Linked DNA regions of Nothobranchius furzeri. The protein of the gene in region 1 purifies or fractionates together with the protein of each later gene. This does not show direct contact. Links are inferred from orthologs where the notes say so. Each region holds a gene or a part of one and is shown in the gene's direction. Other genes may lie near its edges. The genes, in order: use1, rint1 and scfd1.

Region 1 (4,124 bases):
AAAAGGATCTTTGCTTCCCAGAAGAGTGAAATAGTGTGATGCTGTGGACAAAGTATAAAAACAGATATTTCCTGAAAACTTAAGTGAGATCATTGCACTATGAAAAGATTTGTGGCCGATTTAGAGTACAGATGAGTTTGTGCAGATAAAGGGACATTGAGGAAGATTTCTGTCAAATCCATGTATCAGATCAAGAGAGCAGCTGCTAAAAGGTCATTACAGCAGCAAAAAGATATTTGAAGCTGCTGGTGCATCTGGAGTCCTCCAGAGTCTTGAGATCTGTGCATAAACCTCTTCGACCACTGCTGACTAATGTTCACAAGCAGACACGGCTGCACTGGGCAGAGAAATACATTTTCAAACAGTCATGGTGACTGATGAGTGTCGTACAAACCTTGATGACCCAAATGGATGGAGTAGTGGGTGGTTGTTGAACGGCCACTGTTTTCCAACAAGGCTGTGACATCAGCAAGGAGGAGGTGGAGTCATGTTTTGGGCTGGAATCATGGGAAGAGAGCTGTTCGGCCCCTTAGGGTCTCCAAAGGCGTAAAGATGACCTCTGCATGTATGTGGAGTTTCTGACTGACCACGTTCTTCCCTGGTACAAAAAAATGAAACCATGCTGTGATAAAATCATCTTCATGCATGACAATGCATCATCTCATGCTGCAAAGAATACCTCTGCATCAGTGGCTACTATGGGGATAAAAGAGGACACACCTCTCTCTCTCTCTCTCTCTCTCTCTCTCTCTCTCTCTCTCTCTCTCTCTCTCTCTCTCTCTCTCTCTCTCTCTCTCTCTCGAACAATAATTCACTGTCCCTTCAGCCATTCAAAATTAGATAGATATATCTACCTCGGGTTGTGCACAGATGTTAACTAACACAGTTTAAAAGCTTATTTTCAAAAAGAAAAGTTTTGTTAAAATTTTTATTTAAAAAATACTTCTTCTGGACAATCTGGTAATCTTGTGGCGGTCTAGTGGCATTACACGAAACGTCTTAAAAAACGCACCAAAATGCTAACATAATGACCACACACACACACACACACACACACACACACACACACACACACACACACACACACACACACACACACACACACACACAGGTTGTAAGAAAAACAAGCTGATTTTGGTGTGACTTGCTCTTTAAAAATTCCTCAAATTTTTCTAATATTTAATACTGATTTCTTTTGCAAATTATATTTATAAATTATAATAATTATTGACGTGTCTCACATATTTATATTGCAGCGTGGAAGGTTGAGGCACCGCCTCCTCGCTTCAGTCGTTTGACGTCAAACTGCCGCGACACTGTGAACATGGCTTCTAGGTTGGAGATAAATTTTATTAGATTGCTGTCTCGATGTGAATCCATGGCTTCGGAGAAGCGTGGGGAGACTGAATGGAGGTTAGAGAAGGTAGGAATGCCTCCAGTGAACTGTTTTAACATGAAACATGTCTGTGTGACCTTTATCTGCTCTGTTGTTGTTAGCGGTGCAGCTGTTAGCCACGTAGTCAGACAGCAGACTCGCGATTTCTTATTATTTCTAATCAGCAGAAAAAAAAAATATAATATCGAACAGTGAGCCAAGAAATTAACTATGAATATGTTCCTTGTTTATTTGACTTCCTCATGTCAAAATACTAAAACTAAAACCATCAAACAATTTATTTCTGTTGTAATAAAATAATAACTCCTCCTTGAACCGTCACCTTATCGTGGTGGAGAAGTTTGAGTGCCCTAATGATCCTAGGAGCTATGTTGTCTGGGGCACTTTGTGCCCCTGGTAGGGTCTCCCATGACAAATTGGTCTTAGGTGAAGGGTGAGACAAAGAACGGTTCACAGGATCTTTCATGGATGAACTATCAAGGGGTCGGAGTACCCGGCCCGGAGGGTTACTGGGGTCCCACCCTGGAGCCAGGCCTGGGGTTGGGGCCCGTGAGCGAGCGCCTGGTGGCCGGGCCCAGCCCGAACCCGATACATGGGCTCATCCAACTGTGGACCCACCACTCGCAGGAGGAACATGAAGGGTCCGGTGCAGTGTGGATCGGGTGGCAGGCCGAGGCGGGAGCCTTGGCGGTCCGATCCCCTGACAACAAAATTGTTTTTTGGGACATGGAACGTCACCTCGCTGGCGGGGAAGGAGCCGGAGCTTGTGGCAGAGGTTGAGCGGTACCGGCTAGATATAGTCGGACTCACCTCGACACATAGCATTGGCTCTGGAACCCAAGTCCTTGAGAGGGGTTGGACACTCTCCTTTGCTGGAGTTGCTCCGGGTGAGAGGCGGAGGGCTGGGGTTGGCTTTTTGTTAGCCCCAAGACTCTCTGCCTGTGTGTTGGGGTTTACCCCGGGGGACCAGAGGGTATCGTCCTTGCGCCTTCGGGTCGGGGAACTCGTCCTGACTGTTTGTGCTTATGCGCCAAATATCAGTTCAGATTACCCACCCTTTATGGAGTCCCTGGGATGAGTGCTAGATAGTGCTCCATCAGGGGACTCCATTGTCCTGCTGGGGGACTTCAATGCTCACGTGGGCAATGACAGCTTGACCTGGAGGGGTGTGATTGGGAGGAACGGCCCGCCTGATCTGAACTCGAGTGGTGTTTTGTTATTGAACTTCTGTGCAAGCCGCAGTTTGGCCATAACGAACACCATGTTCAAACATAAGGATGCCCACCGGTACACTTGGTACCAGGGCAGCCTAGGTCACAGGTCGATGATAGATTTTGTAGTCGTATCATCTGACCTGCGGCCGTATGTTTTGGACACCCGAGTGAAGAGAGGAGCGGAGCTGTCAAATGACCACCACCTGGTGGTGAGTTGGATCAGATGGCAGGGGAAGATGCCGCGTAGACCTGGCAGACCCAAACGCATAGTGATGGTCTGCTGGGAACGCCTGGCAGAAGAACCTGTCAAGACGGTCTTCAACTCCCACCTCCGGCAGAGCTTTGATCACGTCCCAAGAGCAGTGGGGGACATAGACTCCGAGTGGGCCTTGTTGTTTGGTGGCAGGAGAATCTCGTCTCTGCTTTTGCGGATGATGTGGTCCACCTAGCTTCATCCAGCTCTGACCTTCAGCTCTTGCTGGGTAGGTTCGCGGCCGAGTGTGAAGTGGCTGGGATGAAGATCAGCGCCTCCAAATCTGAGACCATAGTTCTAGACCAGAAAAGGTGGCTTGCCAACTCCGGGTCGGGAGAGAGGTCCTACCTCAAGTGGAGGAGTTTAAGTATCTCGGGGTCTTGTTCACGAGTGAGGGTAGGAGGGATCGGGAGATCAACAGGCGGATTGGTTCGGCATCTGCAGTGATGCGGACGCTGAGCCGATCTGTCGTGGTGAAGAGGGAGCTGAGCCAGAAAGCCAGGCTCTCGATTTACCGGTCGATCTACGTCCCAATCCTCACCTATGGTCATGAACTTTGGGTAACGACCGAAAGAACGAGATCACGAATACAAGCGGCCGAAATGAGTTTCCTCCGTAGGGTGGCCGGGCTCAGCCTTAGAGATAGGGTGAGGAGCTCGGACATGCGGGAGGAACTCGGAGTAGAACCGCTGCTCCTCCGGATCGAAAGGAGTCAGTTGAGGTGGTTTGGGCATCTGGTCAGGATGCCTCCTGGACACCTGCCTGGGGAGGTGTTTCGGGCATATCCTGCCGGCAGGATGCCCCCGGGTCGACCCAGGACACGTTGGAGAGATTACATCTCCAATCTGGTCCGGGAATGCCTTGGGGTCCTGCCGGAGGAGCTGGTGGAGGTGGCCGGGGAGAGGACAGTCTGGAGCTCCCTAGTTGGGATGCTGCCCCCGCGACCCAGACCCGGATAAGCGGAGGAAGACGACGACGAATAAAATAATAAAACCTCGGTAGATGGTCTCCTACCACTGTCCCTGTTAAAGTCTGCCTGGTCATTTTTATATATATTCTTTCAGTAATTATGTCAAAAGTTCCTATGTGCATAAAATTGTCATATTTTTTCAGGACAATCTTAGCTTTCAATATCTGTAAACATTTTTCAGTTATTGTGTTTATTACCTTTTAAACAGGATGCTTTGTATATTTATAACTACAGTAAATTATTTTGTTTAAATTTTTTTAATAAGTAGTGTTTAACTTTGGTCCCCGAGGG
Region 2 (4,403 bases), on another chromosome or scaffold:
GATCGGATAAAAATGACGAGGACAGATGATTTAAACTTTAAAAGTGAGCAATGAGACCATAAAATGAAGCCATGTGTTCATGTTTTAACACCTATTGAAAGACAAGGTACTGGTCAAGGTGTTGATTCTTATCATAGCTGCTTCACATTCGACTGCAAACTACTCCAGCAAAAGCTCAAGATCACGACCCGATGAAGCCAACAGGACTACATCGTGCAAAAATCAGTGACCCTGATCCTTGGGCCACCAAAATGGATTCCCTCAACATCTTGGCTGTGTCTAGAAATCCTGTCCACAAAAGTTATGAACAGAATTGGTGACAAAGGGCAGCCTTGGTGGAGTCCAACTATCACCCAGAACGCTGTTACTGCCAGCAATGCAGACCAAGCTCTGGCACCGGTCATACAGGGACCGTACGGCCCGTATCAAGGGGGCTGGTACCTCATATTCTCATGGTAACCCCCACGGGACTCCCTGGAGGACACGGTTGAACACCTTCTCCAAGTCTACAAAACATATTGGGCTGGTCCAGTGTTCAACAGCCAGGACCAAAACCATATTGTTCCTTCTGAAACCAAAGTTCAACTATCTGACGGACCCTCCTCTCCAGAACCCCTGAATAGACTTTACCAGGGAGGCCCAGTAGTGTGATCCCCCTTTAGTTGGAACACACCCTGTGCTCCCTCTTTTTAAATAGAAAGAACCACCGACCTGGTCTGCCAATCCACGAGACTGCCCCCGATGTCCATGCTGCATGGTGGCACAGTTGTTAGCACTGTTGCCTCGCAGCATGAAGGTTGCAGGTTCGAAACTCAGCTGTGGCCTTTCTGCGTGGAGTTGCGTCTTCTCCCCATGCATGCGTGGGTTTCCTCCAGGTACTCCGGTTTCCTCAACAGATCCCAACATGCCCTATAGGTTATAAATTGTAAGTCGCTTTGGATAAAAGCGTCTCTTAAATGAATAAACATAAACATGTAATATCAAAGTCCCATTAGTTGTCACACTGGTGTGTGAAATTTGTTCTCTGCATTTGACACCCATCCCTGGGGGAGTGGTGAGCTGCAGACAAAGCTGTGCTCGGGAATCGTTTGGTGGTTTATCGCAGAGCCACTTCAACGCAACCCTATATCCAGGAACTCTGGGTGAATCTCATTCTTATCCATCGTGAGACATTGCCATTGAGCAGCTTTTGAATCGCCTTGGTGACCTCAGCGTCATTAATTTGAATTTTTATTATTTATGTACCTTTTCATTGTTGGTATTACTGTTTATGTTGTGTTGTCTGTTGTTTACTGCATTATAAGCAAATACTTTAATTCTGTAATGTTTTCACTGTAAATAAAGTTTGGTTAAAGAACCCGAAACATCTAGTGTTTTTAGACAAGAGGATAGGGGTCTGGTGTTGTTTTGGTACCTTCCCTTTCCCGACAGCAGGGGGCAGTGGTGAGTTGTTCCTCACTGTGCAGCGTGGCGGTGTTGTCAAAAATAAAGATGGCGACGGTACCAGCTGTAGAGTCTTTTCGGCATTCTGTCCGTGACATGGATCAGGATCCGGACTGTTTCGGTGATGGTTCTGGGACCCAGCTGGACTACGGACTGGGTTTTTTGGAGCAAGAGTTTGGCAGCGAACTGATGTCTTTAGAAGCCGTTAGTGAGCTGCTGGAGAAAATGAAAACAGAGACGGCGTTGGTGGAGGAGCAGGTACCGAACCTGAACTTTATTTACTACACGGTGTTTTTAAAGTTAACGAATTAGTGTGTAACAGCGAGCTGTTGTGGTTAAAGTCAGCTGTTTGGTGGCATTCTGGTGGATTAGGTGTGAACCTAAAGCACATTAAATAAGATTTAAACAAATGTTTTCACAATGAAGGAGATGAACTAAATAAAAACTGCTTCAGTGGATAAGACCTCACAGTTCATCATCTATATTTCACTTGATAGAGTTTTAAACATTAAAAGAACTGGAACTCTTGTGCATACATATACAATTTTAATCAAAGACCACTGTGCTGACAGGTCAGGGTTCATAGCCACTAACTCACGGGTTATTAATTTATTCTGCAACCTGAACTCAACCACATTAAATAAAAATGTGTTTTTTTGCAATCTGAAAGATTAGAACAATGTTTTGTCCTTTAGGTTCTGGCTGAATGGGATTGCATTGTTTTTGCTTTCCAGGTTCTGAGTGTGTGCAGTTCTGTTCCTCCCAAAATCTCAGCATCCCTGTCAGCTGCAGAGGAGGTCCGGTGTTCCTTGGAGGACGTGCTGCAGAGAGAACAATCTGTCTCCAGTCAGCTGCAGCAGGTAGAAACTGCAGAAGCTCAACAAAAGAGCAGATTTCAATCTGAAGTAGCAGAACGAACATCAGAGTTGTATTTGATCTATCCCATACAAGATCTGAAACACGATCTGAGCTGAATCATCTATGCTTGTTTAAGGTGTTCTGTGACAATCCCCACTGTAATCCAGGGATGTTTTACTGATGCTGTTAAATATTCTGATCTTCCAGCACCTGCAGGGCACCCGGCAGTTGATGGATGACCTAGGGCAGACATTTAACCATGTAGACTCTATGGAGAAAAGCATGAAGTATCTAAAGTGCCTTCACTACATAGGAGAGCTCAGGTAGGGTGATTAGAGGCTTGGAGACATGTTGGTTGAGGTTACAGTGATGCATCACTGAGGTTTAAAACTGCTCCTCATTTCTGCTGCATAATGTTAATATTATGTGTCTACAGTGCTTCAGTCCAGCAGTTTCTGATGACCAACGGTGTCTGGGAAGCTATAAAAGCTGTAGAGAGCATGGCGGCTCTGGACTCTGGCCTCAACCAGTCAGGATGTTCCCACCTTGTGGAGTTTCTCAGGAAAACGCTTTGTTTCTGGCACAATATCATCAAAGAACAGCTGTCCAGGTATGGCTCCATCAAATCCCAACCAAGACTGGGATGTTTTTGTCTTCTTTCATCTACTGTAAAAGCTGATTCTTTCTTTTTAAACCTCTTTAGTGATTTTGAAAACGCATTGACTCAACTACACTGGCCAATTGTCTCAACAACATCTCAGTCTGCGACACCTCCTGCAGGTCAGGAGGTCAGCAGCCATGTGGAGGAGCTGGTGACTCAGCTGCTGGCCCTGCAGACCTCGTATCCTTCTGGACACAGATCCAATAGGATCTTGGGGACTGTCTCCACACATTCATGTGCTCAGTTTTTTTAACCATGTAAATGTGTTTAGTTTCATCAGGTGAGATGTTTAGCATTATGTCAGGACACCATAATGATCTGACATTTGTCTTTGGTGGTGAGAGAGCAAGGCTTCTAACTCTACACAACCTTTAATCTGTAGTTTTGCATTTGCTCATGAGTTTTTATTTAGTTAGTATCTCACTGGGCTCTGTTAGCGAGACACTGGCATCACCATTCAGAGTGAGTTTTCAGAAGGTTATCCAAACATTCAAGTGTTCTTGGTTCCTTCTTGTGATTCTCAGGGCCTGACTCTGTGCCTAGAAATTTTTAAATGTTCAAAGAATTCTCAAGACAAATTCAGCCAACACAGCCGTTGTAATTAAGTACATAGCACTCATCTCAGACAGAAAATCACAACGTGCTTCACATGGATCAAAACAAATCATAAAGTCATAAAATCATAATGATCTTAAAACAGAAATGGATTAAAATCTGAAAAATAAAGTCTAAAATAATAAAACACCATAAAACAAATGAAAAATTATTACAAATTTGAGTTAAAAATAAGAAAATAAAAGATTTAGGTAAAAGCAGCTTTAAATAAAAGGGTCTTCAGCTGATTTTTAAAAGTGTCCAGACTGTCAATGCTGTGTAAGGATAAAGGAAGATCATTCCAGAGTCGGGGTGCAACAGTCTGGAACTTCTAGAAGGTTCTGGTGTGTGGACCTGAGGGCTCGGGTTTGAGCATAAGGCTTTAACAGTTCAGTAATATAGGGAGGAGCTTGACCATGTAGAGCATTGAAAGTTATAGTCAGTATACTAAAATGAACTCTAAAGTTAACGGGTAACCAGTGGAGAGACATTAGGGTTGTGAGCTCTTGTGTTTGCTCCAGTTAGAAGCCTCACTGCAGAGTTCTGGCCCAACTGAAGGCGGTCAAGGTTTTTCTTGTTAAAACATGTGAAAAGTGTGTTAAAGTAATCTAGTCGGGAGGAGATAAAGGCATGGATGACCATTACAAGTTCATGTTTTGACACCAACCTTCGCAGTTTGGAGATATTTCTTAAATGATAAAAACAGTTTCGAACCATTGTTTCTGAGTGGCCTTCAAGAGACATTGATTGGTCCAAAACAACACCCAAATTCCTTAAGTTTGTCATACCAGGAGAAGATAAATGACCAAGTTTTTGACTAATCAGGGGAACCATGCTCTCAGGGGCA
Region 3 (3,648 bases), on another chromosome or scaffold:
TTTATTTGTTATATTTATGAAGATTATGGCTTACAGCTTGTGAAAAATGTGGATACGCTTCAAGAACCCTGTGATGTGCAAGGTGTCTGGTGTATTCGGTGTTTAGGTTTCCTGTTATTATTGAACAGGTTCACTGAGAAAGCATTTTTACTCATTATTTTTGAAAATGATCAGTCACTCTGAGTTTAATGGGCAGGCTGAACGTGAAACTAGCCTTCTATCCCTTTTTCCATCATTAGCTTCTGACAGATGGACAGAAAAACGCTCTGTTCAGAAAAACTTGACAGATCTACGTCACACTGTCAATTAACATTCACAAATGGGCCATTCCCATCTGTACCGGGTCGGCCCGGGCCGGGTAGCGTAGGTTGTTTACATATCTGGGTGGCCTGGTATTTTTCCGGGCCAACCAAGACTCATTCTCAGCCCTCTTCTCGAGGGAGTCTGCTTCAGGCCGACCAGGGCCGACACACCCACTGCTGACAGCAAATTCACACCTTCCATTAGAGCAAGCCTCTGATTGGTGGGTACAATCAGCCCATTCACACCTTCCATTAGAGCAAGCCTCTGATTGGTGGGTACAATCAGCCCATTCACACCTTCCATTAGAGCAAGCCTCTGATTGGTGGGTACAATCAGCCCATTCACACCTTCCATTAGAGCAAGCCTCTGATTGGTGGGTAGAATCAGCCCACATGGGCTTAAGACAAGGATGTGTGGAATCAACCGGGCCAGGCTGGGGCCGACTGGGGCTACCCGGCCCGGGCCGACCCGGTACAGATGGGAATGGCCCATTACTTACCCATCTTGACTCACGACGGGAAAGGCTGTTGTTGGTTTAGCTTCCAGGAAACCGTAAAGAAGCTCCACAGCACAGCAGAACAGCTCCAGGCTTGTGTCATTTGTAAATATATTAAAACAATTCAATGTTGCAGAGTAAACAAAGTCAGTGGTAGAGCTGTGTTGCTGTTAATGCTAGCCAAATATGAGGACGTAAGACTGCCGTCTTCTGCCATTTTCTTCTTCGGACGGACTTCCACGTTCTCAAACATGAGCCTCTGAGCTGTTTTCCCCAGAGAACTACTTACAAAACATTCATACCTGCTAGAGACCACTGCAAATGTGTTACAAGTATGTGTAAAGTTGATCTTTAATGTTACAGAGAAAATAATTTCACAACAAAAATAACAATCCCAGCTTCTAACATGAACATGAGCAGAAGCCTGTCTGCTGTCTCTGAACAGCTTGAGTTTAGGATGGAGGCTGTTGGATTAGCTCTTCCAGTGTTTCTCACTCACCGAACCTTTAGTTGTTTTTAGACTGAAGTGTAATAATTGTTTTGCGGATGTGTGTTTCAGTCTGACTTGGAGCAGTATAAGAAGGCGTTGGTGGATGCAGGCTGTGACCTCTCATCTCTCAACTACATTAAACAGTGGAAGTAAGTTTTCAGATGATCAAATCATCGCTTCACCAGATTCTCTGGGGTTACAAGTGGCATGTGGCTTCATTAGCACTCAAACAGTGATGTAGTATTGTTTAATAATGGAGACACCGCAGACTTCTCCGCGCTCTTTTGTCCTCTCCTACATGCTCGGAGATGAGCTCATGACATCACAGACTGCCCATGTGCTCAGTCACGTCAACATTCCTAAGGCAGTGTGGAACGAATACGGCCAGGCTGGGGCAGACACAGCAGAGCAGAGTGGAGCCGATGCTAGTGTGTAATTGGCACGTCTCTGCTTCAGCACACCTGATTTGCATGGTCCCCTCAGGAGGACATCAAGTGCTGCAGATGCCTGTTAATCACTCATTCATTTAAGCCAGGTGATTGGGAGCAGGGGAACACTGGTGGTTGAAAGGGCAACATGGCATCTATGGAACATCAGAACATGGACATAAAACATCTTTGTAACAAAGTTGAACGCCAGAATGTGACATCCTTATCCACCTTTTCCCTAGCCTGCACAAATCTTTGCAGGAAAAATGCAACCTGCTTGCGGTCCAGTGTTTGTTTACATTGCAACCATAGATGGATGATGTGTTCCATTTGCACTAATCCACTTTTCATGGTCTTTTTAAATACATGAATTATGTGCTGTCACAGCTCATTTGGGACACTGTTACAATCCCTCTGCCTACTGCAGTAGAGGAGTGGAGGATGATATGAAAATCTGGCTAAAGCTAATCTCCAGTAGCATTATTAGCTACTTGTCGTGTCCAACGGCGAGGCAACGAACAATCTACAAATCTCCAAGCTTATCAGTACCTACGTAGTCATTTGTTTGGTCGTGTTTTGTTGAAAGAGGTGGGACAGCCTTAAATCCCTCATCACCGAGCTAGGTTTTAGTTTCTACAGCAGGTAAAATACAAACAGCAGGTTGTTCATGTATTACGATTGGCTAAGTACGGTGTTAAAATTTTTTTGTCTGCTTGTTAAAAGCTTAATTCAGCTAAATTCTTTTTAGGGTCTCAAATCGGTGTCTACACGGTATTATTTTTATTTCAGGTTGAGAATGCAGTCAGACAGAAAGGCCAGGTCCTCACAGCTAAAGGGGAATGCAGGCACACTCTCTCTGAGGATAATGTTCCAGACAACACTCTTGTAGCCACAAATTTAACTTTCTCTGATAGTTAGTGCCACTGCGAACAGCACTTCCTTTTACAGGGGCAAATCGCATCTGAAATCCTTTTGAAATGTTCAGATAAACTGCTGCGAGAAACAAAACCTCACTATGCAAGTCAGTGGCTATGCGCTACTTCCAGTATCTCACCGGATGTTGCTCGCATCATCGTTTTTACATAAGCAGGAAAAGGCTGGATATTATTTATAATTATAACAAATCCTGTTTAATAAACAGCTTTTTTAATAAGTATCCCTGCTTTTCTCTCCTACTGGTTGAAAATGGAATTACAACTGTCATAAACCACCTTTCCGCAGCCTCCTGTAGCTAACGCTAACAACGAGCTAACTGATACTAAGCTAGCCACAAAGTAAAAAGATCCACACTGGTGGACAAAAAAATATCATTTTTTACAGGTTCAGTAGCAACAAAGCCAGTTCACCTGTGATTTTGTAGCCTCCTTTAGCTCCCTCAAACGGGTGTAGGCTGCGGCGAGGTTCACTCTGGTTTTAGCTCTTTTTGTCACCACCAGAGACATTACTCTTACTTTTATTTCCAGGCTCAGCCATGATGCCAACACATAAAGCCAAATTCTTATTTTTCTTGTAGTTTTTATTTACGGCTGATAACAGTTGTATGTGCTACAGTAAACAACTGTTGCCGTAAAGCAGGATGAGACCTCCCTCAAGTGCACCCACCCGTGCTCCTAAATTGTAAAGTGTGGTTTCTGTTCAGCAGCGAACTAAAGAGTGAAGTTAGTAAAGTCTCTACCTCAAGAACCTCTGAAATCCGTTTGAAAGCAATAGCTCTTTGGTGTTGCTTTAACAAGCTCTCTGCATAATAAAAGGAGACAAATTACTGGAGCAGTGAAGCCGATTGTTTTAACTATCTTCTTTTATTCTAGGGCTTTTACCAAAATGGCCACCGCCCCAGCTAACTACGGGAACAGTGGAGTCAAACCGATGGGGTAAGGCAGTAACAATTTAACCCTCCCACACTCCTAATGGTTGTGACCCCGCAAGGAAAG

Evidence for each region.
Region 2: the proteins of use1 (region 1) and rint1 purify together in Homo sapiens (co-immunoprecipitation; 3 studies listed by BioGRID and IntAct, counting the BioPlex papers as one, with this or other methods). This does not show direct contact. The link is inferred for Nothobranchius furzeri from reciprocal best matches to the Homo sapiens genes USE1 and RINT1.
Region 3: the proteins of use1 (region 1) and scfd1 purify together in Homo sapiens (affinity purification with mass spectrometry; 3 studies listed by BioGRID and IntAct, counting the BioPlex papers as one, with this or other methods). This does not show direct contact. The link is inferred for Nothobranchius furzeri from reciprocal best matches to the Homo sapiens genes USE1 and SCFD1.

Annotation. Positions count from the first base shown.
Region 1 is NC_091748.1:57,902,404-57,906,527, forward strand, and holds the start of use1 (vesicle transport protein USE1), read left to right. Parts: upstream 1-1,268; 5' UTR 1,269-1,324; coding exon 1,325-1,423; intron 1,424-4,124.
Region 2 is NC_091741.1:64,277,866-64,282,268, reverse strand, and holds the start of rint1 (RAD50-interacting protein 1), read left to right. Parts: upstream 1-1,456; 5' UTR 1,457-1,491; coding exon 1,492-1,701; intron 1,702-2,177; coding exon 2,178-2,303; intron 2,304-2,508; coding exon 2,509-2,624; intron 2,625-2,737; coding exon 2,738-2,911; intron 2,912-3,004; coding exon 3,005-3,142; intron 3,143-4,403. UniProt on the Homo sapiens protein: Involved in regulation of membrane traffic between the Golgi and the endoplasmic reticulum (ER); the function is proposed to depend on its association in the NRZ complex which is believed to play a role in SNARE assembly at the ER.
Region 3 is NC_091758.1:18,055,944-18,059,591, reverse strand, and holds part of scfd1 (sec1 family domain-containing protein 1), read left to right. Parts: intron 1-1,358; coding exon 1,359-1,438; intron 1,439-3,525; coding exon 3,526-3,588; intron 3,589-3,648. UniProt on the Homo sapiens protein: Plays a role in SNARE-pin assembly and Golgi-to-ER retrograde transport via its interaction with COG4. Involved in vesicular transport between the endoplasmic reticulum and the Golgi.